Linked DNA regions of Nothobranchius furzeri. The protein of the gene in region 1 binds, or shares a complex with, the protein of each later gene. Links are inferred from orthologs where the notes say so. Each region holds a gene or a part of one and is shown in the gene's direction. Other genes may lie near its edges. The genes, in order: txnl4a, ppih, sart1, prpf4, lsm5, lsm7 and lsm3.

Evidence for each region.
Region 2: txnl4a (region 1) and ppih share a complex: the UniProt entries of both Homo sapiens proteins name them as parts of the U4/U6-U5 tri-snRNP complex. The link is inferred for Nothobranchius furzeri from reciprocal best matches to the Homo sapiens genes TXNL4A and PPIH.
Region 3: txnl4a (region 1) and sart1 share a complex: the UniProt entries of both Homo sapiens proteins name them as parts of the U4/U6-U5 tri-snRNP complex. The link is inferred for Nothobranchius furzeri from reciprocal best matches to the Homo sapiens genes TXNL4A and SART1.
Region 4: txnl4a (region 1) and prpf4 share a complex: the UniProt entries of both Homo sapiens proteins name them as parts of the precatalytic spliceosome. The link is inferred for Nothobranchius furzeri from reciprocal best matches to the Homo sapiens genes TXNL4A and PRPF4.
Region 5: txnl4a (region 1) and lsm5 share a complex: the UniProt entries of both Homo sapiens proteins name them as parts of the precatalytic spliceosome. The link is inferred for Nothobranchius furzeri from reciprocal best matches to the Homo sapiens genes TXNL4A and LSM5.
Region 6: txnl4a (region 1) and lsm7 share a complex: the UniProt entries of both Homo sapiens proteins name them as parts of the precatalytic spliceosome. The link is inferred for Nothobranchius furzeri from reciprocal best matches to the Homo sapiens genes TXNL4A and LSM7.
Region 7: txnl4a (region 1) and lsm3 share a complex: the UniProt entries of both Homo sapiens proteins name them as parts of the precatalytic spliceosome. The link is inferred for Nothobranchius furzeri from reciprocal best matches to the Homo sapiens genes TXNL4A and LSM3.

Annotation. Positions count from the first base shown.
Region 1 is NC_091751.1:22,094,757-22,097,982, forward strand, and holds txnl4a (thioredoxin-like protein 4A), read left to right. Parts: upstream 1-1,441; 5' UTR 1,442-1,586; intron 1,587-1,768; 5' UTR 1,769-1,796; coding exon 1,797-1,949; intron 1,950-2,075; coding exon 2,076-2,179; intron 2,180-2,265; coding exon 2,266-2,437; 3' UTR 2,438-2,726; downstream 2,727-3,226. UniProt on the Homo sapiens protein: Plays a role in pre-mRNA splicing as component of the U5 snRNP and U4/U6-U5 tri-snRNP complexes that are involved in spliceosome assembly, and as component of the precatalytic spliceosome (spliceosome B complex).
Region 2 is NC_091755.1:32,545,059-32,549,144, reverse strand, and holds the start of ppih (peptidyl-prolyl cis-trans isomerase H), read left to right. Parts: upstream 1-1,286; 5' UTR 1,287-1,403; coding exon 1,404-1,469; intron 1,470-4,086. Other genes in the region: zgc:154075 (putative oxidoreductase YteT), read right to left, coding at 144-157. UniProt on the Homo sapiens protein: PPIase that catalyzes the cis-trans isomerization of proline imidic peptide bonds in oligopeptides and may therefore assist protein folding. Participates in pre-mRNA splicing.
Region 3 is NC_091744.1:19,554,452-19,558,702, forward strand, and holds the start of sart1 (U4/U6.U5 tri-snRNP-associated protein 1), read left to right. Parts: upstream 1-1,451; 5' UTR 1,452-1,780; coding exon 1,781-4,093; 3' UTR 4,094-4,251. UniProt on the Homo sapiens protein: Plays a role in mRNA splicing as a component of the U4/U6-U5 tri-snRNP, one of the building blocks of the spliceosome. May also bind to DNA.
Region 4 is NC_091746.1:69,563,499-69,567,798, reverse strand, and holds the start of prpf4 (U4/U6 small nuclear ribonucleoprotein Prp4), read left to right. Parts: upstream 1-1,500; 5' UTR 1,501-1,638; intron 1,639-4,300. UniProt on the Homo sapiens protein: Plays a role in pre-mRNA splicing as component of the U4/U6-U5 tri-snRNP complex that is involved in spliceosome assembly, and as component of the precatalytic spliceosome (spliceosome B complex).
Region 5 is NC_091747.1:62,679,674-62,683,199, forward strand, and holds lsm5 (U6 snRNA-associated Sm-like protein LSm5), read left to right. Parts: upstream 1-1,242; 5' UTR 1,243-1,320; coding exon 1,321-1,366; intron 1,367-2,417; coding exon 2,418-2,513; intron 2,514-2,600; coding exon 2,601-2,628; intron 2,629-2,699; coding exon 2,700-2,772; intron 2,773-2,849; coding exon 2,850-2,882; 3' UTR 2,883-3,026; downstream 3,027-3,526. Other genes in the region: late secretory pathway protein AVL9 homolog, read right to left, coding at 592-678. UniProt on the Homo sapiens protein: Plays a role in pre-mRNA splicing as component of the U4/U6-U5 tri-snRNP complex that is involved in spliceosome assembly, and as component of the precatalytic spliceosome (spliceosome B complex).
Region 6 is NC_091748.1:58,320,411-58,324,429, reverse strand, and holds lsm7 (U6 snRNA-associated Sm-like protein LSm7), read left to right. Parts: upstream 1-1,261; 5' UTR 1,262-1,365; coding exon 1,366-1,371; intron 1,372-1,611; coding exon 1,612-1,702; intron 1,703-1,801; coding exon 1,802-1,873; intron 1,874-3,102; coding exon 3,103-3,245; 3' UTR 3,246-3,519; downstream 3,520-4,019. UniProt on the Homo sapiens protein: Plays a role in pre-mRNA splicing as component of the U4/U6-U5 tri-snRNP complex that is involved in spliceosome assembly, and as component of the precatalytic spliceosome (spliceosome B complex).
Region 7 is NC_091743.1:73,197,565-73,201,636, reverse strand, and holds the start of lsm3 (U6 snRNA-associated Sm-like protein LSm3), read left to right. Parts: upstream 1-1,272; 5' UTR 1,273-1,338; coding exon 1,339-1,359; intron 1,360-2,560; coding exon 2,561-2,671; intron 2,672-3,117; coding exon 3,118-3,213; intron 3,214-3,561; coding exon 3,562-3,642; 3' UTR 3,643-4,072. UniProt on the Homo sapiens protein: Plays a role in pre-mRNA splicing as component of the U4/U6-U5 tri-snRNP complex that is involved in spliceosome assembly, and as component of the precatalytic spliceosome (spliceosome B complex).

The DNA of each region.
Region 1 (3,226 bases):
ACCGAATAAACCAAGCCTTTTGTCAGCTTTAAGGGATGATTGCTGTGGTGATGGTAGTCGGAGAATAGATTAGAACTTTATCCCACGTCAGCTACCATGACTGTTTGTTAATCAATCATGTCTTAAACCAAATCTTCTAACAGGAGAAAGGTGAACTCATCATTCACTGGGTCATTCATTACCACAGTGATGCGGTTAATTAGTCATGAAATGAAAAAAATATAACTTTTAGACATATCTAATGATCATTTAGACTCTCTCTCTCTAGGGAGTGCCACAATGTGCTGCTATGTCGTCAGACTGGAACGTTTTTTCTTTAACCTTTATACTATCTTTTTCTTCTTTGATTGTACTGCAGTAAATTGCACAATAAGTGTTTTTTCTTCGTGTTTTTCCACTATTAGAATTGTACACCCACACTTTAAATAAAATAACGTCTCTAAATCTAAGTAAGACTGAAAGATTGATGATTTATTTGTTTATTCGTAATGGTATTTTCAAGTTTTAAAAGTGCTTCAGCATTTAAATAAGTCCTTGAAAACAACTGAAACTGACTTTATGGTGCAGACGTTTCCTTTAATGAGACAGCAAAGTGACGTGATTGTTGTGAACAAGTATAAACGGTCTCTGTGCAACACCGGTGTAACGTGCTGGAAAATATTTAAAAACTCCATCTTAAAGTGCTTGAAAAGGGTTTACATTTTATTATTTACAAAGTGTGTTAGGAAGCCTGCAAAAAATCAAGTACGACACGTAGTATTTGACATTGCATGATGAGTTAGGGTTGGGTTTTTACAAATTTTTCTTTGGAATCTCTTTTTGTGGAAGAATTTGAGTTTGAACGCAGAGTAAAACTCCAAACTAATCATTTTTCAAGCTGTATCCATTTTACAGCAAGTGTGCCAAATATACACATTGTTCTAAATTTGTGAACTTGTTAAGAATCAGAAATACTTCACAGCATCAAATATTAACAGTTTTTTTTGTAAAGTACACAAACAACACGTGCACGTTTTAATTGAAGTGTGGCAAACAAGCTTTACAAATAAAGAGTGCTCCGAGATTTCCTAAAAAATGTATTCATGTTGCAAATTTCTAATTATGTTATCTAGACTGTAAACATAATTTCTGTTTGTTATTGAGCTGTTTGAAAATCTGTTTGTTCTCCATGCATGAATACGAAATACATTTAATACTAGAAGTATTTCTCTAGTTGATCATCCAAAAAGATGATCATCCAAAAAGATATTGCTGGAAAACATAACGTAAATATATTTATTTTAAAAGTACTTGCTGGAGTGAAAAGTAATTATTTCAAATAATTAATTATTTAAAATTTTTATTTTTTGTGTGCGGCTTTCACATTAAAAAATAATAAATAAATAAATTGGGACTTTTTAAAAGAGTTTTTCGAATTGAGCGACTATGACGTAAATTTAACGCGTCTCCTGCGTCGCTGATTTGATGACGTCGTGAAGCGTTTGTTTTCCGTGGGGTTTAAAAGAAGTCACATTGAACATAGCTGCTTTATCTATAGTTAGTCCGTTTTCTTCCCGCCACTTAAATACTCTATTTTATATTTTGGGGTAAGTGTTTCAGAATATTTAGTGGGAAGTTTCATAATTGTGTCTTTCAGATTGTATCCATGGTTAACGCTAACTAGCTAGCTAGCTGTTGCCGGTCAAACCGTTCTCTGGTACTCAGAGATGTTTGTTTAATTTAATGTTCAGCTGTGATCGATTTGAACTCTTTATTTGATCCATTTCAGGTTAGAATTTGCTCATTTTTGAGTCAAGATGTCGTACATGTTACCGCATCTCCACAATGGATGGCAGGTCGACCAAGCCATCCTGTCTGAGGAGGACCGAGTCCTCGTCATCCGCTTCGGACACGACTGGGACCCAACATGTATGAAGATGGACGAGGTTCTTTACAGCATCGCTGAAAAGGTTTGATTTGTTTCCTGTCTTTATTATATAAAGTCCGGTTGGCTCAGATTCAGGAGTCGCGTCACATTACCTGCTGGCGTGCTCCAAATGCCATGTTTAATTCATTCTTGGTTTGTTTATTTACAGGTGAAGAACTTTGCTGTCATTTACCTCGTGGACATCACAGAAGTGCCTGATTTCAATAAGATGTACGAGTTGTACGACCCCTGCACTGTCATGTTCTTTTTCAGGTAGCTCTTCCAGTTCCACATGTTGCAATAGACAGGGCAGCTGAGTAAACATATTTTAAGGTGATATTTTTGTCTTTCTCTTCCAGGAACAAACACATCATGATTGATTTGGGCACCGGTAACAATAACAAGATCAACTGGATAATCGAGGACAAACAGGAGATGATAGATATTGTTGAAACTGTGTATCGAGGAGCAAGGAAAGGAAGAGGTTTGGTGGTGTCTCCCAAGGATTACTCTACAAAATACAGATACTGATTTTTTTTCATCCTCCTTTGTTCAGTTTATTATTTTTTCATTTGACAAAATGAAGAGACAAAAAACACAAAAGGTTCAGGAATATTCTTCAGCGTGTTTACCTTTGGTAGTAAAACAGGACATTGTTGATAATGGTGGGTTTAATGTCACTTTTTGTTTTTGCAAACGTAGCTTCATAAATATTAAGTTTTGTGTTTTTTAAGGCTTATTTCTGTGAAATATGTCAGTGTGGAACACATCGGTAATATTGTACAACTTGTAACTGTTTTAATAAAAAACTTTTACTTAAGATTTAAATGTAGTGTTTTAATTTATTTTATATATATATATATATATATATATATATATATATATATTCTGAACCTGCTTGTCCATGTAGGGTCGCGGGGGGCTGGTGCCTATCTCCAGCTGTCACTGGGCAACCAGGCGGGGTTCACCCTGGACAGAGCCAGTCTATCTAGTACTTCTAAGGCCTATAAAATAAACATGTTTATCATGAGTACAAGCTGTTCCACCACATCATTAAGTATAAGACTGATAGATTTATGAGTGTAAAACTTAAAATCCTGCTTTTCTGTTGTTAATACTCTTAATTCTAGAAGGCTTTTAATGACTGGCTAAAAAATATGGCTATAAGTTTATAAATATAATGAATATATGATCTTATTTAATTATGGTTATGCAAAATAAGATAGTAGACAGGCTTTTTAAAATGTTAAGTATTTTAAATAAAACGAATCTGTGCATAATGTTGGAAATCATACCATTTTAATGACATACCTGGAATCT
Region 2 (4,086 bases), on another chromosome or scaffold:
ATGAATTATGTGTACCGGGAAAACAAAAAGGAGCAGACCAGAGTCTTGGCGAAATAAACACGGAAAAGGGTAAATCCTAACAGATGTTTCGGCAATTCGGGTAAATAACATAATTCATTTTATAACACCAGTTGTACTGTTACCTGCTTTGTCCCATACGAGTATTAGAACAGCTGTCTTTCCTCCGTGTTGGTCTACTTTTGTGTGGCTTTTTCGGATAGTGAAGCACACACGACTCCTCCTACAGACGGTACACAAGGTTCTGTGCCACATTCATTGTACCTCGTAAATTACGACTTTTTGCCATCTAGTCATGGATTTGTTTTGAAAAATAAATAAAAAATACACGAGCACGCGCGCGCACACAAATCTTTATATTAACCTGTTAACATTTTTTGACATTTTGAAAACGAACCATGAAAAGAAATATGAAATAATTAATCAAAAGAACAAGTCGGAGATGTTATTTTGAAAATCTATTTAAAATATTACTCTGATGGCATACCCTGCCCTGCAAAAATAAATAGTTTTCAAGTCTATGAAGTAAAGATAAGTAATTTATACATTTATAGATCTAGATTCAAATACTGAACTTGAAGTTTTGCCATACATCATACAAAACATGTTTGAAGCATTTATATTAGTAAATCTCTATTATAATGAGTTGGAGAAAATTATAATTTTCTGAGCATAATTTAGCCACTAGGAACTATACATTACTCATCTTTCAGTGTATAATAAGATATTTCAAGTGTTTTTATGTTGGAAAATACTGGGTTTTTTTACTTGTCCAACACATCCAAAATTGACCTATTTCTATTTCTTGCGAATTTCCCAAGTCGTGTTTTCAATATTTGACTATTTTTATTTAGTGAAAAAATATGCAGCACAAGGTGGCGCTCTGGTAAAATCATTCTAGAGTGTTCATTCGTGTTCTCCTGGGTTCTCCTGTGCTCTCTTCTTCTAAAGAGGACAGTGGAGTCAAGACGTACATTGCATTTTATTTTGCTCAACTTAATTCTGTTTTTACTATTCACTGAGACTGTATTTTAATATTTAGTTATTTATTTCCAGCTGACCTTTAAATAAAATTTGAAACATTTTAAATTTGCATTTTTGAACTGCTAAACATCAGGAAAAGGTTGGATTTAAGTTATGTGAAATCCTAGTAATAACATAGCTATGGGAAACAAAAGATTTACACCAACATTAGCCAGGGTCTAAAGAAGAAATATATACAATGCATGTCTAGGTTTTTGTCCCTAGTTGCAATTCGTACCTTGTCTCTCGCGAGCCACCATAAGTTTCTTCTGCGCATGCTCTCTATTTTCAAATGGCTAGTATGTAATTTTTTTTGCCGATTTGTAATTTGAAATCTGTGCAAAAGCGGTCAAAACATATCGATGTCTGTTCAAGCGACAAACCCAAACAACCCCATCGTGTTCTTTGACATTACCATCGGAGGGCAGGTCAGTGGAACCCAAAAGTTCTTTTTATTTTACCGAAAACGTGCTGTCAACGTCACCGCGCTCAGTTACTCATCTCAACGCAAAGTCGCCTTTTGATTAAGTTTATGGGAGAGTAAGCAGAATTTTAGGTATTATGTTTAGTTTATTTGTTTCTTATAATAGTAAATCAGTGCTACGTTTAACGTTTTGTTTAAGTAGTGGATATTTATGTGCTTTGAAAGGCGCAGAGAAAACGTTTAACTTGAATAAAAACGAGATTGAGGTTCTTTTTATCTTCCATTTCAACATTCGACAATCAACACCAAGAAGATTTTATAGGTTTGAGAAAGTGGCTCTGCGTGTGCAAGTGCCACCAGTAAGAACTTGGTTGGCTCACCTGCTTTTTAAAGCATGCACCAGGACATTAACAAAACAGCAGATCTGTGTCGATGCTGAACATGTTCATTCAACATAGCAGACACTGCATGCAAATGGATACTTCTCATATACTTACAAAGTACCCCTGACCACTGATTATAAAGCAAAGTTTGAAATAATCGTATTAATAATTTCAAACTAATGTGAGTTATTTTCAATAATGAAAAATCACAAAACCGTTAAAAATGTGTGCAAAATTTTGCAGAATTTCAGGGCAAAGACATGTTTTCACTATTTTTTCTCTGTTAAACGTAGCATTAGGGCGGCGATGCAGTAGGTTGTCCTGTTGACTTTCAGAAAGAAGGCTGCTGGTTTGAATTCCAGCTGTGGCCTTTATGTGTAGAGCATGTTCTCGCTATTTCTGCGTCGGCTTTTCCTGGGCACTCCTGTTTCCTTTGATGGACCAAAACCATGCATGTTCGGTTCATTGGGGGCTCTAGTGGGCCATTCCCATTTGTACCAGGTCGGCCCGGGCCGGGTAGCCCCGGTCGGCCCCAGCCTGGCCCGGTTGATTCCACACATCCTTGCCTTAAGCCCATGTGGGCTGATTCTACCCACCAATCAGAGGCTTGCTCTAATGGAAGGTGTGAATTTGCTGTCAGCAGTGGGTGTGTTGGCCCTGGTCGGCCTGAAGCAAACCCCCTCGAGAAGAGGGCTGAGAATGAGCCTTGGTTGGCCCGGAAAAATACCAGGCCACCCAGATATGTAAACAACCTACCCTACCCGGCCCGGGCCGACCCGGTACAGATGGGAATGGCCCATAACTTGCTTCTGTGTGAGACTGGTTGTGTATTTCTGCATGGAGTGAGAACCCCTGCCTTTCGCTCGGTGACTGCTGGAGATGGACACCAGCTCCCCTGTAAACATACAGGGAAAAAATGGTTCTGAATATGATTGGGTTTGAAATGTAGCTTTAACTCTGTTGAAGTCGTGTTGCAGGATATGATTATGGAATCGGTAAAGTTTTTTATTACAATGACTTCATGTGGACATTTCCCCTCTCTTTGCTTCACTGCAGCTGAAGTCATCAAATGCTCTTCAGTACAAACCTAATCAGGAAACGGCATCTGATTTAGTTTAATTTGAAGAGGATGTTTCACTTCTAAAGCTACAACATGTAGCTGCTTGTCACTGGGAAACTTACACAAATGGCTGTAACTGATCTGAACCCAGAGCAGAAAGCCATAATTAGAAACAATTTGTTATATGTTCTGTAGCAGCCTTACCTTCAGCCTCGTTCAGACCAGGTGACTCCACCCTACTTGGCCAAACAAAATTTAACTTGCAGCAGAATCTCAAACATATGTAGATGTTTCACCTTCAATCTGTTAGAACACTTCTCATTATTCATTGTTAATCATAGTGGATTTCTGCTATAAGGATTTGTCCAGAAGGACTGAAGGTAGGGCTGGGCAATGAAACGATGGCAATAAATATTTCAAAACAACTTTTCCTCGATGGACATGTGAGAGTGGGAAGATAGAACTTCGGTATGAAGAGTAGAGACCCACAGCTCAGTAGCAGCCAGGCGGATGTGCTGCTAACCGCTCATGTTTGTGTATCTGTAGCCTCCTGCTTCAGGTAAAAGTAGAAAAATGAGAGCCCCAAATGGAAAAAAAGAGATGGACACTGTTAATTACGTCGTTGACAATAAAGGACCGAACAGTTCATTCGTGTGGACGTAGTTTGAATAATTCTTTTGCTGCGAAACTAATGACGTTGAGTGGATGATCTAAACAAAGTCTGTGAAACCACAGGAGCTCATGAGCCAGTGCGACCCGCTGGAACAGCAGGATGTAAAACTTGATAATAAGAACCCAAGTCTCCTCCCCTTCCAGTCAGCTCATGGGTCCCTGGAGCAAAGAAAAAATAACCCGCTTTGCCTTACGCCCTGAATCACAATTATGTCATGTAATTTCAGCTTTGTTTGCTTGTAAAAATTCGTAAATAAAATGACTACAAATCAGAAGTCGCATATATGACGTCCCGACAAAATCTTTTCTCCCCAGCGTAGCTGCTACTTATCAGATAGCCAGATTTATGGTGGTTTTCACGTTTCGTTTAATGCTCCTTCTTTGGTCCTGGAAGAAGGATTCTTTGCTAAACTGATCTCCCCCTCTTCTCTGTCTGGGTCAATTATATCAATTTAGTGGGACGAACGTTTGTAGTCCTATATGTATTTTTCCACACAAAACCTGAA
Region 3 (4,251 bases), on another chromosome or scaffold:
CTTTGCTAACTGCCTGGACCCAAATGGCTAACAGAAGCAGCACGATGCTGTTACAAGCAAGCCGATTTGTCATTTATTACTTGGGCTCAATCCATCGTGGGGGGTTTCGTGCTAAAAGACATTTCAGCCATCCAGGTAACAATTTCTTCTATTCTTTCTTATCCTGGCATGATCTGACGATTCTTACTGAGGGAAACACGCAATTCACGTATCTATTATCCTAGGTGACATATTCAAAGGTTTTTTTAATACACAAAATAAAGAATAGTGGTAAACTCGTGTATAGATCTATTGAGAAACTCGCAACAAATGCAATTACAAATATTTTGAAAGATAATTAAAATATCTATTAAGAACTTGATGAAATAGCATTTGATTCAAACTTTATTTATTGAAATACAGCAAGGCAACAGCACTACCACTGTGCCAACATGCAGCCAAAGCATAACAGATTCAAGTAAAATTTAAAATGTAGTATGTATAAAAATGAGTGAAATTAACATGTGAACTGATATGATATCCATAATGTTACACCTACTCCTACCCTAGGATCCACCCATCCCTTCCTCTATTCCACTGCATCTCTTTGTGCACTTCCATCTATGTTGCACTCTGATTCATTTCTACACTATTTTCGCATACTCCTCTGTCGGAGCCTAGTGTTCTTTCCTCTAATCAGTTTATCGTTAGAATCAGATGCAAGTACTGTTACATCCTTGTTTATAGATCGTTTTGGACAAAAGCATCTGCCAAATACATTAGCACAATGCCCTTTTTGATATCTGGAGCTCAATACAGATAAATGCAAAAGCTGAAGTAGAAAAATGTAATTTGAAAAAATCCTTAATGCTGTTGTTGGTAGACAGAAACCATTGCTAGACATCTGACTTTTTCTCTTTGTCTGAGAAGAATTAATTTTGATGTATATCTGAAAGTGATAAACATCCCAGCCATTAAATGTTCAAATGACCGTTTGGAATCAAAAGCATTTTTAAATACTCTAAACCTGGGGGTTTCCAATTGAAATATCAATTACAGTATTAAAATGTGTTTTTACTGATCAGAATGCACTTCTAGATATTATTTCAGTTACGATAAGTAAGAAATACATTTTGATAATGGGAATTATTATAACTTTATCTAAAATTTTAAGTGAATGGAAATGTTTTGCTTCATTAAATGCTATCACGGCTTGCTAAATACAGCAGGTTGCAGGCTGCAACCTTTGCTAAGCTAACAAGCTAAAGTAAAGGAACTGCGCCAAAATAGAGGAGATAGTAAATCGCTGTGTTGCACTTCGTGTACTTTTTGTAAAGTATCAAACAATTTTCCTAAAACATTTAAAAGCGTTTGTTTGTCAGTTAATGTCCGGTTGTTAAAGCCCCAGCCAGCAGGGGGCGATATACAACCAGGGCGAGCAAAGTTTTTTCTACCACTTGACTTCCGGAAACGAATTCGTTGTCGTTGTATGTTCGTTTCGTCGAAGTAGCAAACTTAAAACGTGGTTGTTAGTATTTATGCTGGTGCGAGGTGCTACAAATAAACAAACCAACGAAACTCCACGTATTTTCCACCGATGCTGGATATCGAAAATATGATGCAGTTTTCCCCGAAATGAGTGAGTTTTGACGTGGCTAACCCTTTAGCTTTTGAAGCTAACTCGACCTAGTTGGGAGAAAAGTTCGCGACATTTACCACATCAATACAGCTGAAGAGACTGCGTACGCAGCTTGACTGTGACGGAACTACGACTCTGGAGTTGTAAACAGCGGACGAAATCATGGGTTCTTCAAAGAAACACAAGGAAAAGAGTCGCGATAAGGACGCAGAAGAGCGCCGTCGTGAACATAAGAAGCATCGGCACAAAGAACGAGAGAGAGACAGAGATGCCTCAGATCGGGATGGAACTCGAGAAAAACGAAAACGCTCCAGGTCCAGGGAAAGGAGCAGACGGGATAGTCGCAGCAAAGGGGAAAAAAGCAGTGGCGAGACTCGTATAAAGAGGGAGAAATTGGATCCTGGCTATGAGGAAGGCAGTGCAGAAATACAGCCTCAGAGTGCAAGTGGAGATGCTTCCCTCAGCGTCGAGGAAACGAACAAACTCCGAGCCAAGCTGGGTTTAAAGCCTCTGGAACTCAATGAGAACAAGAAAGAACTTGGAACCAAAGAGGAGCCACTGGTGGCTGAGACCATCAACCCTGTTCTCATCCAGCAGCAGAAAGAGATGAGGGAGAAGCTTGCAGCTATGAAAGAAAAACGTCTCCTCAATCAGAAACTGGGCAAAGTCAAAAACCTTGCAGATGATGATTGGCTCGATGACACAGCCGCTTGGATTGAAAGAAGCAGAAAGCTGGCACAAGAGAAAGAAATGGCAGAGAAAAGAGCCAAACTTCTGGAAGAGATGGATGAGGAGTTTGGTGTCAGCAATCTGGTTGAAGAGGAGTTTGCTCAAAGTAAATTGGATTCTTATTCTTCACGGGATCTCAAAGGCCTCAAAGTGCAGCACAAGGTTGATTCCTTCAAGGAGGGCCACACTGTCATTCTGACCCTGCAAGACAAAGGTGTCCTGGAAGAAGAGGAGGATGTGCTTGTGAACGTGGGACTGGTGGACAAGGAAAAAGCAGAAAAGAATGTGGAGTTGAAAAAGAAAAAGCCTGACTACAAGCCCTACGAAGAAGAGGAGAGTGTGGATGACATGGTCACCTTTAAGCCCCGCACTGTACTTTCAAAATACGATGAAGAAATTGAAGGTGAAAAGAAAAAGAGCTTTCGTTTGAGCACATGGGGATTTGCTGATGGGGAGCGAGAACGGGAGCTGCAGGCTATGAAAGAAACGCTGCAAAACCAGGCCCAGTCTTTGGAAATGCCTGCTCTTGCTATCGCTTCGGAGTATTACACGCCTCAGGAAATGGTTGGCTTTAAAAAGACAAAACGCCGTGTGAAGAAAATCAGGAAGAAGGAGAAGCAGACAATTGCAGATGAGCTCCTTGATGACACTCGCAGCTCTGACTTTGGCTCCCGAGCACGAGGTCGGGGCCGCAAACAGGACAACGAAGAGGAGAATACAGGCAAGGGCGAGCGTTGGCCACATGAAATCCCCCAAATGTCTGATGACATCAGGACGGCAGAAATGGAAATGAGTGATGAAGAAAACTTCACGCCTCCTGAGCCAGCTGTAATTGAGGAGGATGAGGCAGAGCAGGAGCTGCAGAAACAACTGGAGAAACAGAGGAAGCTGAGGCAGAAGCAGCTTCTCAAAGACTCCGGGGAGAAGGTGGCAGAGCAGATCAGACGGTTTGTTAAAGGCGGTGACGAAAATGATCCTGACAAGAGGAATAACATTGTCTTCAATGCCACCTCTGAGTTCTGCAGAACTCTGGGTGATATTCCAACGTATGGACTGTCTGGAAACAGGGAAGACCAGGAGGATATCATGGACTTTGAACAGGAAGAAGAGAAAGATGATGCTGGAGATTCAGACTCCGAAATGGATGAAAATATTGGGTGGAGCACAGTTAACCTGGATGAGGAGCAAAATCATGCTGAATTTTCCACAGCCTCTGCCACTATCCTGGATGAGGAACCCATCGTGAACTCTGGCCTTGCTGCTGCTTTACTGCTGTGCAAAAATAAAGGGCTGCTGGACACGCAAATGCAAAAGGTGGCTCGTGTCAAAGCAACAAAGGGGTCCCTGCCTAATGACAACTACTGCATCGAGGACAAGATGGGCTTTGATGATAAGTACAGTCGCCGGGAAGAATACAGAGGCTTCACGCAGGATTTCAAGGAAAAGGATGGATATAAACCCGACGTCAAAATTGAGTATGTGGATGAGTCTGGGCGCAGACTCACCCCAAAAGAGGCATTCAGGCAGCTTTCGCATCGTTTCCACGGCAAAGGTTCTGGAAAGATGAAAACTGAAAGGAGGATGAAAAAGCTGGAGGAGGAAGCGCTGCTGAAGAAGATGAGCAGCAGCGATACACCTCTGGGGACGGTGGCTTTGCTTCAAGAGAAACAGAAATCTCAGAAAACGCCGTACATCGTCCTCAGTGGCAGTGGGAAGAGCATGAATGCAAACACCATCACTAAATAAATATGTAGGGGAAAATGATTATTGTTGTAGCTCTTTTGAGATTATTGCTAGTTTATGGTCTTGCTTCAGTGTTGATATAACAATAGTATAAGAAAATCAGTACAGGTGTAAACTATTTCATTTGTCTTGTGAATTTCCTAAAAGAACAATAATTTAAA
Region 4 (4,300 bases), on another chromosome or scaffold:
CAGTCAAACAGATGTGTGAAGTGAATAATCATCGTAAAAATACTTTCTAAAAACTCAAGTTCACTGTAAAGTAAAAGCAAACGAAACAGTCGAACAAGCATTAAATGAGTGGTGCATTCAAAAGCACGATAAAACGTCAAACATAGTTACAGGGAAGAGAAAAGCTTCAACAGGTGGAGGGTTCAGCTGGTAATGACTTCCACGGAGAGGGGTTAGGGGGCAGACGTCCCACGGTGACAGGACGGGCAGGGGGACTGTGCCGGTTGATGGCAACTGGGGAGTGTGTAGAAACCTTTATGAGATGGGAGAGGTACGAGGGGCAAGGTTGTGAGTGGCCTTATATGTGATGAGCAAGATTTTGTAGTCAGCCCTGAATTTTATCAGCAGCTCAGAACTACATGATGGACAGCAGCAGCTCAGGAGTAGAGCGGGTTGTCCACTAACCCGAAGGTGGCAATTTCGATCCCAGCTTCAGACAGAGAATGCTGCCGTGGTGTCCTTGGGCAAGACCTTTACCTGCTGGTGGTGGTCGGAGGGACCGGTGGCACCAGTGCTTGACAGCCTTGGCCGTCAGTGTGCCCCAGGGCAGCTGTAGCTACATCGTAGCTCATCTCCACCAGCGTGTGAATGGATGAATGATGCACTGTAGTGTAAGGCGCTTTGGAGTCCTCAGGCTCTGAAAGGTGCTACACAAGCGTGGGTCGTTTATCATTCATTTACATGTTTCACTGATCACGCTTCTCACTGCTCAGGTCACTAACAAGCCCTCCAGATGCTTTATCATCTCACTGCAAAGAAAGCATCCAGTAATTCGTCCTAATGTTGGTTCTGCCACTGCTGACAAACCTCCACCTTCACCAGCAGGTGGCACCACCGTGCATTGTGTAGGACCTACTGATAATTCAAGTTAGAAAAATTCACCCAACATCAGAAAACCAGTTTTTCTTAACCTAAAAGGTTTACCAAGCCGGGCACAAGAGTATCGATCAGCTGTGACGATTTGGCGCCACTAGGTTTAGGGTCCTACTGTGGAGGAGATTAAAAATTCACCTAATTAAAGACACATTTATCAAAAAATGTTAGGAGAGCAGGGCAAGTTGATTTATGTGGCAGACCTACAAGAGTTAGCCTGTAGGGGGGGAAAACCGCGTCTAACCCCGCAAGGAAGCCCCGCATGGATGGGGAAAACACGCAACTCTATGAGTTTCGAACCTGCAACCTTCCGGTTAAGGGGGGGCTCTGGGCTCCTGTGCCACCGTCACCCCATCAACGTAAAAGCGTCGCAAGCAGAGGTTTTAAATAACGCAGGTGTTGCGGGTTGACTCCACACAGCGTTATGTTCCAGAACATCCGAAGTTGTTGAGGCGGAAAAGTCGAATCTGTGAACATCATGTCAACTTTACTTCCGTCCACCCGAACCCGTTTGTGTGACGAACCCAGGTGACTTTACCTGACGCACCGAGACTCTCCTTCGTCCTGATCGTCAGCTGTTTGGTTATCTGGCTAACAGGTAGATTGGTTAATTACCCATAAGTCCACGGATCCACCAACCGGAAAAAGAAGCTTTGACCCGGAAGCCAACAGTTTCATATCCGGGTTGCAGTGCTAGGAGACGTTGCGGCTTCGTCTGTTTTTACGGTAAGTTTGAACAACAAAACAAACGAAGCTTTAAAACAGAGAAACACGCTTATGGTCCAAACAGCAGGTGCGCGTGCTCGGCTAGACACGCGTGTCCGTGAGCCGTTAGCTCCGAGTCACGTGCGAACATCAGAACGCTTCTATGGTTTCGTCGTGCGGTCCGTGTGTGTTCTGCACAGCTACGGTTACAGCACCAGTTCACTACTGGTGTGGGTTGCAGCACCAGTTCACTACTGGTGTGGGTTGCAGCACCAGTTCACTACTAACTCACTCATAACATCTATGATAGCTTCCAGGCAGTCAGGTTTTCGTAGAGCTCGTTCTACTGAAACCAGGGCCGTGCAGAGACCTTTGACGGGGCGGGGCTCAAAGTAAAAAAAAAAAAAAAAAAAGGGGGCACTTTTAGATCAATCCAACAAGTTAAAAAAATCTGATAATGAGACCCTTGGGTTCAAACAACATAATAAAAATTTATCAATTAGTGTTAATGTTAGTTAATAAATAATGAACTAACCCTAACCCACCATTGCGTGGGCGATGGTGGCACAGGAGTTAAGATCTCGCCCCGTAATCGGAAGGTTGCAGGTTCGAGCCCCGCTCAGTCTGTCGCTGTCGTTGTGTCCTTGGGCAAGACACTTAACCCACGTTGCCTGCTGGTGGTGGTCGGAGGGACCGGTGGCGCCTGTGCTCAGCAGCCTCGCCTCCGTCAGTGCGCCCCAGGGCAGCTGTGGCTACATCGTAGCTCATCCCCACCAGTGTGTGAATGTGTGTGTGAATGGGTGAATGACTGATTGTGTTGTAAAGCGCCTTGGGGGGTTGCAGGACTCAGAAGGCGCTATATCAAATACAGGCCATTTACCATTAATAGTTTGTCACTGGAGAAACAAGTTATTCAGTTCTTTGGAAGTAAGGGCATTTCTATTGACAGCACCACTATAGCTGCATGCTACACAATTCCTAAAAAAACTGGAAAAAAAAAACAAAACAATAATTCAGTTTGTGAGCAGGAAACATAAAGTTGACTTGTTAAAGGTCGTAAAGAAGCTTAAGGGCACAGGAGTGTATGTAAATGAGCACCTGACAAAGAAGAATGCAGAGATTGCCTGGCAAGCAAGAATTCTGAAGAAGGAGAGGAAAATACAGGATACCTGGATAAGGAACTGTAAAGTAATGATCAAGCTTACTGGACCACCAGAACAGGCTATGGTGGTGAGCATCAAGAGCCTCTCTGAACTGGAAAAACTCAAATGATGAGAAGAAGATGGTATTTAATTCATGGACACAGCAGACTACAAGAAATCAGGAAATAATAGATTTTTTTTTAGGTTTGTCAGTGATGTAGATCATAAAATCTAAAAAAAATATCAAATCTGATAGATAATGGAGTTGACTCAGAAATTAATGGTTGCAGCAACACCCACCTGGACTGTGAATATTATATTGTAGAGGACTTCAAAGTGAGTATGTGTGGATTTTCATTAATACACTTTAACAGCAGAAGTCTCTACAACAATTTATCTAAGATCTCAGATTACCTAAATGAGTTCAAGGAGAAACTTACAGTAGTTGCAATTTCAGATACCTGGATCAAAGATGGAAAAGAGTTATTGAATAAACTGGATGGCTATGAAATGTTTACTCAGAGCAGACAAAACAAAGAGGGGGTGGGGTAGCACTTTTTGTTAGGACTGGTTTTGATTGTACGAAACTAACAAATATGACCTTCATTGTTGAGAATTTGATGGAGTGTCTGACAATTGAAATTAAGTGTAAAAAATCCAGAAACATCATTATAAGTTGTATGTATCGTAGTCCTGGTTCTTCTATAGATCAGTTTAATGAACGTATTGAAACATTATTTGGGCAATGTAGGAACAAAATTGCTTTAATTTGTGGTGATTATAATACTGATATGTTTAAATCAGATGATAATACTAAAATAGCTGAATTTATCAATTTAATGTTTAGTTTAGGTTTCCTTCCGTTGATACTGAGACCAAGCAGGATAACAGCCGTAGTATTACACCGATTGATAATATATTCATAAATCAATCTGACGTCAAGACAAAGAATGGCCTTTTTTAACTGATATTACTGATCATTTACTGGTGTTTACTGTGGTGGAAATGATGAGAAGTGATGAAACATCTCTGGAAAATGTAAATTATACCACAACTAGAAAAAAAACTTCTGTTGCAATTGAAGCTCTGAAATATGAACTGTTTTGCTCTGATTGGACTGATGTTTATGTTGATGATGTTAATAATTCTTATACAGGTGCTGGCCAGTAAATTAGAATATCATCAAAAGGTTGAAAATATTTCAGTAATTCCATTCAAAACGTGAAACTTGTACATTATATTCATGCAATGCACACAGACCAATGTATTTCCGATGTTTATTACGTTTAATTTTGATATTTATAGGTGACAACCAATGAAAACATCAAATCTGGTATCTCAGAAAATTAGAATATTCTAAAGGCCAATGAAAAAATGTTTGTTTCTCTAATGTTGGCCAACTGAAAAGAATGAACATGAAAAGAATGTGCATGTATAGCACTCAATACTTAGTCGGGGCTCCTTTTGCCTCAATAACTGCAGTAATGCGGCGTGGCATGGACTCGATCAGTCTGTGGCACTGCTCAGGTGTTATGAGAGCC
Region 5 (3,526 bases), on another chromosome or scaffold:
TGCAGGCTGAGCTAAAGGGAGGTGTGGCTGCTGTGATGTCACAAGAAAGCCTCTTTTTTATGTTTGTATGAATAAAATATTTGTTCTGAAAATATGCACTACTTTAGGACTTGGGTTTAATCATGCCACCAAATAAAAGGAAGTTTTGCTTCAGAGTCAGTTAGAAAATACCAAAATGCAAGTTACTGAAAGGAAAATAACGAATTTCACATTTTTGAGAGGAACTGAGATATTTCTGATGCAGTTTTTAAAGCTTGTAGCATCTTTGATTATTGTTGTTTCTTCCTATTCTGCCCATCACCGTTACTGAACATTAGATAATCAATTAGTATGGAGATCCAACCGGATGTGGGATCAGGTGAGCAGCTGCTGGAAACAACTGGAAAATTATCTGAGGTGGCAGCCAGAAGAGATGTTATATAACTCCGCACAAACAGCTAGAAATCAAAGACGGTTAAAATTAATATTTCCATCTGCATCAAATCCATCTCACCTGCAGTGAGCTGGACCATAACCCTCCATTCTAATGTTTTAGTAGGAATGCACCTTTATACCAGAGCTAGCCACAGTTAGCATGAAGCAGGTTCGTACCTGACAGCCTTTTTTATGGTGAAATCCAACAACCACGATGTGTAGCACCGGCCCCTTCCCTTCAGTTTCGCTGCCGTGAGACTCCATTTTCCCTCAGTCTTCTGTTCTGGAGGTCCGGTGGCGTTTGTGAACTCAGGGGGTTCGGATGTAAACACAGCGAACGGAGCCTAGTTTGAGCCCCGAATCTTTCCCACGCACACACACTCACGCGCGCGCGCACACACACACACACAGCGCTGCAGCTAGATTTCAACAAGATGTTTCCCTGTTCCTCACTTCCGTGTTTGCGTTACCGATTCTGTCAGATCCATCGGGGTCAGAGCACGGATTAGCTGTTAGCATTAGCTTTTAAATGAAAAACTGGTTCAAGTCGCATTTACACAATTTATAACAACCTGTTTCCAATGAATCTACTGACATATTTTCTTGCGAATATCTGATTTTGATCAAATCCTAAAATCAGTCAAGCATAACTTAACCAGAAACAGGAAGTAAACAAATAAACTCTCCATGCTGCAAAATCCATACTTAAGTCTTATACTCAAATATTTTTGCCTCTAAAGTGATTGTTGTTTTGGATGTTTTATTTATTATTTTTTGTGGGGGAATTTAAGTATATTTTTTTATCTATAGCATTCCAAAGTAAATCAGAGTTTGTCTATTCTTGCCTGAATTCGATTTGCTCTTGATTCGATTGGTTGTGACTGCTGCAGTCACACGAAGAAAGTCATGGCGGCTACTCAAGCGACAAACCCGTCACAATTGCTCCCTCTGGGTTCGTAAAATCTAATTTTGTTCCGTTCTTGCTTCAGATAGTTTCGCCTTTAGATACATTTCAATAAGAACCGAACAAGCAGTTCTAATTTAGTGAGTAGCAAACAGAAGTGAGCCGTTTTAGCGGTAAAATCACGCCGGTGTTACGTACAGATCTTTTCACCGAAGTAAACCGTGTCCCCGCTTCCTGACAAGATTTCTAGTCACAGGATTGTGTTCCTCCTGCTAAAATATATTATCTGTGGTGTACGGATTTAATTGTCAGTATGTGTAATTTGTGAAGTAAGCAGTTGCATGTATTTGATAAATTTAGGAACTCGTGGGGGTTATGCTTAGTTCAGCCATCTTTATTGCTTGCATTAATTTACTAATAAAAGTCAAATAAGGAACATTTTACCATTTAAAACATATTATAGCTTAAAGAAAAAGTTTTAAAGAAAACCCCCGGAGATTCTGGTTTAGATGGGGGACACATCTCGATGCAACACCAGCAGGTTTTAGCTAGCTGCAGATAAAGCAATAATTTCGTGTTCAAGCGTGAGTTTTTACCTAATTTATTTTAACAGAGGAGTATTTGTGGCAGTCTAAAAACTAAAAGAAGTGATTGTGTCCTATTTTACAGCAGTTATGACCTGAAAAAGTCAAACCAGCTCGGGTGCCTTAATGAGGATGGCGTGCTGATTGTACACCTGTCCGTGTCTGAACATGAGCAAAAGCTGAGCTGCAGCAGTCATAATAATACTCCTGAACTTATTGTGTTATTTAAATTCAAAGTAGTCACACCCGTGAACAACTTTCGTTGACAACTGACAAGAAAATTCATTTCGTCCATCGACATATATTCAGTTAGATTTAGTCATATTCTTCTGCCACCTACTGGCCAATTAGTGTATGTGCAGTACAAACCTCAACAGTATTTCCCTTAAGAAAAAATGATTTTTAGTAGTTGGTCCTGATTGGTTTTAGATGCTAAACATCACATTAGTTATTTAGAAAATTGTTAAAATCAAACTGAAAACTGTAGAAAATAACCTAACCTGTTATATTTTCAGAGCTTGTGGACAAATGTATCGGCTCTCGAATTCACATCGTCATGAAAACCGACAAAGAAATCGTCGGCACCCTGCTGGGGTTCGATGACTTTGTCAGTATCCTTCCTTAAAAGCTGCTGATCAGCTGTAGTGCGTGATTCAGAGGTGACATGTTCAGATTTGGTCCTCAACTGTGTGTTTCAGACATGGTGCTGGAGGATGTGACAGAATTGTAAGTGTACGTTGTTTTATTAACCGGTGTCTGCCTCATTCATCCTGCTCATCTCCTGGTGTTTCTTCCAGCGAGATCACACCAGAAGGACGGAGAATAACCAAACTGGATCAGATCCTCCTCAATGGAAACAACATCACCATGGTAGGACACAAACGGCTTCGGTCTCTCTCAAACATCACTCAGCTGGATGATTCATGTCGGGTTCATTTCTCCTGCAGCTCATTCCTGGAGGAGAAGGACCAGAAGTGTAAATCCTGTTTTGTGTCTTTTGTTTATTCTCTCCAGGTTTTTGGAGCATATTTTTGTAACATTCTTTGTTCAGTTTTTAGTAAAAGAAGCAGGTCTCACGTGGGAATTAAGATGTCTTTGTTGCAAATAAATCTGTTTGAAAAACATCCTTGTTTCATTTATTTATCATAAAAAGTAAATTTAGTGCAAACATTGGGACAAAATGAAGTGTTACCATCAGAAACCAGTGATAAAATCCAGCATCCAGTCTTTGTTGGACTGTAAAGCTAAATGAGAAGTTTCACTTTTGACTCATGAACAAAAAACGTGGAACCGATCTAGAGCTGAAACAACTAATCGACTTAATCGATTATAATCGATTATTAAAATAGTTAACAACTTTTTTAGTCATCGATTAGTTGTTTAATAATCATATTTTACCGCATAAAGTCTATTTTTTACCACAATCAGACATCGGTTACAAGCTGTTAAATTTGCCGCCAGTGTGTGGCAGTAATGAGCCACTGATCTACCAGTGGAGCCGTAGAAGAAGAAATGAGCCAATGGGTGCCCTCGGTTTTCATGACGTATCACGTTACTGACGCTCATCTTGCTGTGAGAGATGGCGGAACAAGAGGAAATACGGAAGAAAAATAGAAGCGACAAA
Region 6 (4,019 bases), on another chromosome or scaffold:
GCCTCACCAAAATATCTTGACCTACTTGTGGTTTGCAACCCACCAACTGGTACACAGTCAGGGTTTATTAATAGTAGTCATGTGTGGGTCATGACCAAGCTAATTCAGTGTGCTGGCTTGTTCATGTCAATGACTGGAGCAAGCTCCATGCTGAGAGCCTTTATTGGTTATTGATTTTTTTCCCAATAACAATACTGAAACTCAAAAAATTAGAATATGGTGCAAAAGTTCACTTATTTCAATAATCCATCTTAGACTGAGAGACCATCTAAAGGCTCGGGAACCCTTTGCAGATGTTTTTGATTAATTAGCTGGTTAGAGTGCGACACTTTGAGTCTAGAGTATTGAACCTTCTCGCACGTTCTGTTTGTCTGAGATATTTAGTTTTAGATGTTTTCGTAAGCTGTAAGCCATAATCATCACACTTATAACAAATAAATGATGGAAATATCTGGTTTTGCATAGAATGAGTTTATCTCATGAATTTGTTTCACCTTTTAGGTTTTTATACTGAAATCAATAAACTTTTGAACCATGTTCAAATTTTTTGAGTTTCATCTGTATACATTTTATTTTAAAAAGGGTTTCATTGTGGGGCAGTTGGAAGCACTGGTGACTCACAGGAACAATGTCATAGGTTTAAACCTTGGCTACGGCCTTTCATTCTCTCCATGCATGTGTGGGTTTGCTCTGGGTACATGCTCCTCCAGCAGACCAAAAACATACAAGCTGATCGGCAACCCCAACTGTCTTTAGTTGTGAACTCAGTATTAGCATAGTTTTTAACACTGTTACATACTGTTTTGATTGTGAATTTAGCTAAATAATAAACGAAAAAGGCTGTTAGAGCGAGTTTCCCACTCGCTGATAACAAAAGTGTTATAGCGTTTTATTTAGAAAGAATTTACAGGCAGTTTTCTCTTCTCCATCTCCATCAACCAAAAGAAACAAAAATACAGATTATGATCCCCCCCCCCCCCCCCCCCCAGTTTCATTGCCATGAGACTAGAACGTTCCCTTCTAGCTTCTTAGAACCTGATTGTAGTTGCAGTTTATCCCCACTGGAGGGCGTAGATTTCTTCTGAGATTGTAGCCTGTAGCTATTAGCTAACGCACAATGCAGCTGAGAAAGATGAACGTTTTTCCCAGCCTGACAGCGTATTAAGACAATCACATGAGTGTGTATTTAACTCATTACGTTTTAGTAGAGATGGTAGTCCCGAGACTTTTACAAAAATCAATATTGTTTCATTTTACTTTTTATGGTCTACAGCTGGACCTCTCTGAACCCTCTGAACGCGTTATCTCATTGGATCACTATCATTTCCTAGGGTCTAAGATTTACTTCCGGGTCAGACAGTAAATATGGCGGTGAGTTCGTAATCCATGGCTTTCATTATATTGTGTTACTTTTTATCTTTTCACATCCACATTTGTATTGTTAAGATTTAGCTTTGTTTTCTGAACAAAAGTCGACTTGAACAACTTTTATTTTGCTGTGACGGTAGACGTTTTACTTAAATAACGTGGCTAGTAGTGAGCTAAGCTAAGGCTACGTTTTGTTTGTGATTAATTAGTGACTTAAGACAATGTAACCTGGCCTTTCTGCAGGATAAAGAAAAGAAAAAGAAGGAGAGCATCTTCGACTTGTCCAAGTATATCGACAAGACGATTCGGGTGAAGTTTCAAGGTGGACGAGAGGGTGGGTGGACCAAGCTGTTGCTAACCCTTTCATTTCGTGCAAGCAGTAAATGTCTAGATTTCCTTATGTGGAAGCCTAAAATTTGTGTTTTCTTCTCAGCAAGCGGCGTTTTGAAAGGATTTGATCCTCTGTTGAACCTGGTGCTGGACGGCACGATCGAATACATGCGTGGTAAGAAAACCAAAACTCAAATCCAGCCAGAAAACTGCTCCTCAGTCTGAGTCCATGTTTATATCGATGAAGGACTTTTCCTGAACACATTCCGAAGTTCCCCAACACACATAACTATAAAGTAATAATTCGCATTAATTTCGCCCCTACCGTCATCTTTAAAACGATCTACAGTTAGTGAAAATAAGCATGTTGATCAAAACATTATGTTCATGTTCAGAGCATGTTTAAGAGACATTTTTCTACTTCACTTTTTTGAGTTAATTTGTTTTTCAGTAAATTATCAGGAATACGTGTGTGTGTGCGTGCGTGCGTGCTAATCTTGTTTGACAATAAAAGCAACATAATTTTAGATTATCTTCAGTGGACGAACATTACATATAATTACATGTAGACAAAAACATGTTGCTGCTATGTTTAAAAGAAGAAAATTCACAGGCTCTAAATAATTCATTCTAAAACATCAAATAATCCGAGAGATTTTCTGGGCTTCAAATTGAAAAAAGGTTTCCAAATTTTCAAATCACGCCCTTGTATGTAAGATTAATTTTTCAGTTTCATAAAATTAAGAAAGTCTGTGTGTAAAAGCATCTGTGGAATTGTTTTCTTTTTGTACAAACAAACAGAAAACATTGTGTAGACACCTCTCTACTGGAACAGTGTGTTGTTTCCAGGTAAAGGTAAGTAGCTGGTTGTGTTTTTTGTGCTCTTACCCTGTAAGGTTACTCCACCTATCTCCTCTACCATCACTGTGGATTTGTTGAAAATGTGATGCTAGTTTGAACAAACACTGGAAAAATGCTCAAGTTTCTAATTCTCAGTTTAGTGTTTGGAGGGGAGGGTTGAGCTAATATTCAGAGGAGTCATGGAGGCCACTCGGGTGGAACAAAAACCAGAAACATGTGGGGGGAAATTAAATTGATTTAAAAATCCCCAAACAAAAGATGAGTGGCTTTTTTCAGTTTGAGGTTTGTTCTTTAGTGGTCGAAGCAGATTTTTAACAGTGATAACAAATCAAATGTTGTTGGTTTTTTATCGCTGTTACAAGTGGTCGTCTTGTGTGGACTTAACATCTTTGAAAAATACATCTGAACTGAAGATGGTCAAAACAAAAAAATCAAAGGTCTCACCATTCATGTTTTAGTTTTGAGTGCATTCCGGTAAAATGCTTGGTGGACACCCAGCTGCTTGACATTTCCAGTGTGAACGTTCTGTGGCTTTGTGTGCAGATCCAGACGACCAGCTGAAGCTGACAGAAGACACCCGACAGCTGGGGCTGGTGGTCTGCAGAGGAACCTCTGTGGTGCTGATCTGTCCTCAGGATGGCATGGAGGCCATTCCTAACCCATTCATCCAGCAGCAAGATGGATAACCCCCATGCTGCTGCGTGGCACACTTTTGATTAGACTTTTCTTTTTTAACATTACAGGACACTTGTCATTCAGACGACAAACATGTTTTAAGTTCATCACTGGTAAAATAAGGCTCCGTTGCACTTCAGTTTTATTTCCCTGCTAATTTTGCTCATTTTTGTGTTGTGAGGAGCTCCCAGTTCTGAAAGTGTTAAAACAAATTTCTTGTTATCTGAGTGAACTTTTTACTATTCTTTGTTTTTGATAAGAAAATAAAGTGGAAAAAAAGCTGAATCTGAATGTTTTTCTCCTTTGAACACAGAGGACGTGTTGGAAAGTTACACCAGATATGGTCTATTCGAAAGGGTGACAAGGATCTGAGTGGTTTTGTTGACCCGACAGACGTCCCCTACCTGCTGGTTGTGACTGACTCGATGGGTCTACAGACTACTGAACTCTGCAGTAAAAAAAAAGATGAGTGTGTTTAGGTTTAAAGGGAGTTTCTGTGTTTGAAGATAAACCGTTCAAGCTTGTCTGCACACTCACAAAGACACATATGTGGCATTAACAGCTTTTAAGTCAGTAATGCATTAAGCTGGGGTGGGGGTGTAAAGTAATGATATCTATGGATTGTTCCTTTTGAAAGAAAGGATCTTCAGTAGATTTTGGCGTTGGAGAAACGCAGAAACAAAATGCTGATGAGTTTTAAGTGAGATAACTGAAGCTGTTTTTTAAAATGGCAAAATTTTTACTTAACTGGATGTGAAACCTCCTAAAAGTAGGTTAGAATAGTG
Region 7 (4,072 bases), on another chromosome or scaffold:
TGGTTAAAAGCAATAAATCAGTGGAGAAAAACAAGTGATTCTGAAATGCACTGCCAAGTTCTTGCAACTTCGACATCTCATGGGGCTTAAAGGAGATGTACAGTTGGATGTCATCTGCATAAGATGGTTGGAGATTTCTTTGAAGGAGCTCAGGATGTGCTGAAGAGGGAGCAGATAGAGGAGGAAGAGTAGAGCGCCCAGCACAGAACCTTGTGGGACACCATGGGCGAGGGAGGTGGTGGAGGACCCAAACTTGGAGACGGCCACAGAGAAGCACCTAACCCTAACCCTAACCCTCAGACAGATAAGAGGAGAACCACTTCAGAGCAGATCCTGATATGCCTACCCAGTCTCTCAGCAAAGCTGCTGACACACAACCTTCTCCAGAAGTTTCAAATTGAAAAGGAGAATAGAGATTGGCCTGTAATTGTCTGCACAGAGACATCAGATTCTGGTTTCTTCAGGATCGGTTTACTGACTGCAGCTTTTAATGCAGTTGGAACCACTCCAGTGCTCAGGCTGCCGTTAATGATCAGACGCAGAGACTGACCCAAACACGGAAAGGCCTCCTTCCACAGACGAGGTGGCAAAACATCGAGTGGAGAGCTAGACGACTTCTGCCCTGAGACAAGCTTAGACAACTCAGAATAAGAGAGTATTAAAATAGCTCAGGGTGGACTGTATTGGAGTAACTGGATCAGGGTCTGTAGATGAACCAAAAATAGCAGCTCTAATGGCAGAGACTTTGCTAGTGAAAAAGTTGTGAAAGTCATCACATTCTCCAGCAGCAGTAGAAAAAATGATGCCAGAGTCCTGGTACACTGAGACAGAGTTAAGCGTTTTATGGAGAATTTTTGAATTGTTACAGTTTGTATCAATGATGTCAGCAAAATAGCCCGTTCTAGCGACCCTCACAGCATCAAGATCAAGATACTCTAAACATCTAATGGGAGACCTGTAGGTCTATGCCCGTTTATGTGCAGCCTACAGTTACAACAACCGGCGTACAATTTGAAAACAGATCAAGCGGGATTACTAGTAACTTTACAAGCCTACCTCATGGAATTCTATATTTAAATATATTTTAATTTATTTTGTTAAATTATATTTATATTTTAATTATCATGCCATATATTGTATCAGCTTTTGTGAAAAAGCTTGATAAAATGCGTTTTTTAGTTGGCTAAGCACCTTCCTAAGTAGAAATTAATGCAGTGGGGGCGAATGGAGACCCAACTAAGATGGCGGTCGGCCACTACGGCAGCCGTCCACGGGGCGTCTACGTATATATGACTGCGACCTCAGAGCCCATTGAGGCACTAGGCCAGTTAAAGCATCATGGCGGATGAAGTGGAGCAGGTTCGTTTGGTTGCCGTGTTTATACACTTTTGTTCGTTTTAGCGTCTGTGCAGTTGCTTGACTTCGTCGCGCATTATTAACTTTATGCATTTCTTTAATCTAAGGATACAAGCGTAGCATTTTGCTAATTGCTAACACGGTTTAATTGTGTTTAGGCCTGTGAAACCGGTTAGCCCACATTCACCTAGCGTTCAGCTCATCCTAAAATTATCAGTAAGCGCGTAAAAGTTACCAGATTCTCACAAATGAAAGATTAATGAATGACTTTTCCCGTTATGTTTGTCTAGCAAATTGGACAAATAATTAATATTGAGTTTTCTTTAACTATTGTGTTTAGTTATTAACTTTAGTAAGTAACGAGTCTCAACAAACTGTTTGGATCAAAGTTTATGATTTAAAATGAATATTTCTAAGCTGTAATGTGCAATTTAATTGAAAATAAAGATATTAGTGACAAAGATACCATAGTGTTAATAAGTCATGAGACGTTTAATTGGTTTGATCAGTACTTCTGCACACTCTCTTTACATTTCCTATCAGATGGTTTGTTTTCTAAGCCCTGGTCTTTAAAGGCAAGCCTTAACAAAGCTGTACAGACACAACAAAAATGAATAAATAACAATATAAAGACTCAGCTAAACAATGTTTGGATATTAGTGATGCATCGATATAAATTTTTGGACCGATACTGATATCCGATATTAAGATCACTGTTATGGCCGATAACCGATATTTGCCGATACCGATATACACTGACATTAATGCTTCCAAAATCTGCAGATTTTATATAGAATGAAAATTATTAAAGCTGGATTTACATTATTGTGTACACACAACACACACATTTACGCTTCTGAGGTGATTACAATCACTGTCACATGATTAAACAAATACACATCACCCCCCTCACCCTCTGAAACTGATAAACAAATGGAGACGAGATAGAAAAATTAATATCGGCCCGGTTTTATTTATGGGACCAATACCGATATGTTTAAAAATGACTAACATCGGCCGATACCGATATTGATGCCGATATATTGTCCATCCCTATTGGATATTTTTAATCTAGATTTTTAAAAACATTTCCGGTGAGTGTAAAAAAACCGACTAGTTTTGTTTTTAAATGTTTGCTATTTGATGAATATGCCAATAAAAAATGGAATCCGTACATTGATGATTATTTTAATGTGTTCCACAGCAACCACCTACCAACACGGTGGAGGAGCCTCTCGATTTGATCAGGCTCAGTCTGGATGAGCGGATCTACGTGAAGATGAGGAATGACCGGGAGCTCCGCGGTCGACTACATGTACGACACACACACACACACACACACACACACACGGTTCAGAAGATCCAGTTTTTTCACAATACTTGCTGATAAAACAGGTAAAAAAAATAAGACTGAAAATTCTAATGTCAGTAAAACAACTTAAAAGGTGAAACTAATCTATGAGACAGACTCATTCCACGCAAACCCAGATATTTCAGCCTTTATTTGTGATGATTATGGCATTCAGCTGATGAAAACCCCACATTCATAATCTCAGACAATTAGAATATTGTGTTCAGGTAAATATTCTAGTGTCAGACTTTTATCAGCTGATGAATCCAGAACACCTGCAGAGGGTTCCTGAGCCTGTAGATGGTCTCTCCATCTGAGCTTGATTACTGTCATAAATGGACTTTTGCACCATATTCTCTTTTGTCCAGTTTCACCTGTATGTCCTAACTAATGTTTGCCATCTGGTCCAGGCGTATGACCAACACTTAAATATGATCCTGGGGGATGTGGAGGAGACGGTGACAACAGTGGAGATTGATGAGGAGACGTATGAAGAACTTTATAAGGTCAGTTTTTATGAACAAACATAGAAAAACCTCTCTAGCCACATTTCTACTGAACAGCTTTTGTTTTGGACTCTTTGCTGTGTTTGCTTAGTGGCAAACTTGTGCCACTGTTGGGTGATGCTTAAAGATCCATCAGATGCAGAAACGTTAAACGATGTTAACTTGTCACTTTAACATAACGCTGAATAGATCTGCAGAAAGTAATAAAACAGAATTTTAAGATTCTACGAGGTTTCATTATTGTTCATGATCAGAAACTCAAGTTTTATTTAAATTTGACGGTACTTTAGTGAGTATTTAAATAAAATATCTGTTATTTAAATGTTTTTACTGTATTTGTTTCTTTAGTCTACCAAGAGGAACATCCCCATGTTGTTTGTCAGAGGAGACGGCGTTGTCCTCGTAGCTCCGCCTCTCCGAGTCGGCTAAGCCCCCCATGCCTGACAGGATGATGTAACTGCTTCTGGGAAGTGTCCATTTTTGTAGGAGAGTGTTATAAATCTTCATTTTCCTTATGCTAGACTGTTATTTCATCTTTAAATTTCATGTGAATCAGAGGCTCTTCTCTAGGGCAAAATGTCTGAGGGGGGAAAAACCCAGGAAGTATGATGTGAGGACACTTTTTTTTATTTTTTGACACATTCTGGGATTGTAAGAATCGGCCTCAGTAGATACTATTATTTTTAGTAGAAAAACATTTTTCTGAATCTTATCAGTTCCGATTGAGTCATTCCAGTGTTTATAAAGACTCGGGTCCCCTTGTGAGCGAAATGTTTGTTAAATTGCTCAACTTTTATGTTGATTTTTAGCTAAATGATTGCATTTGAGTCCCAGAACATTCTTTTTCTTTTACATGACG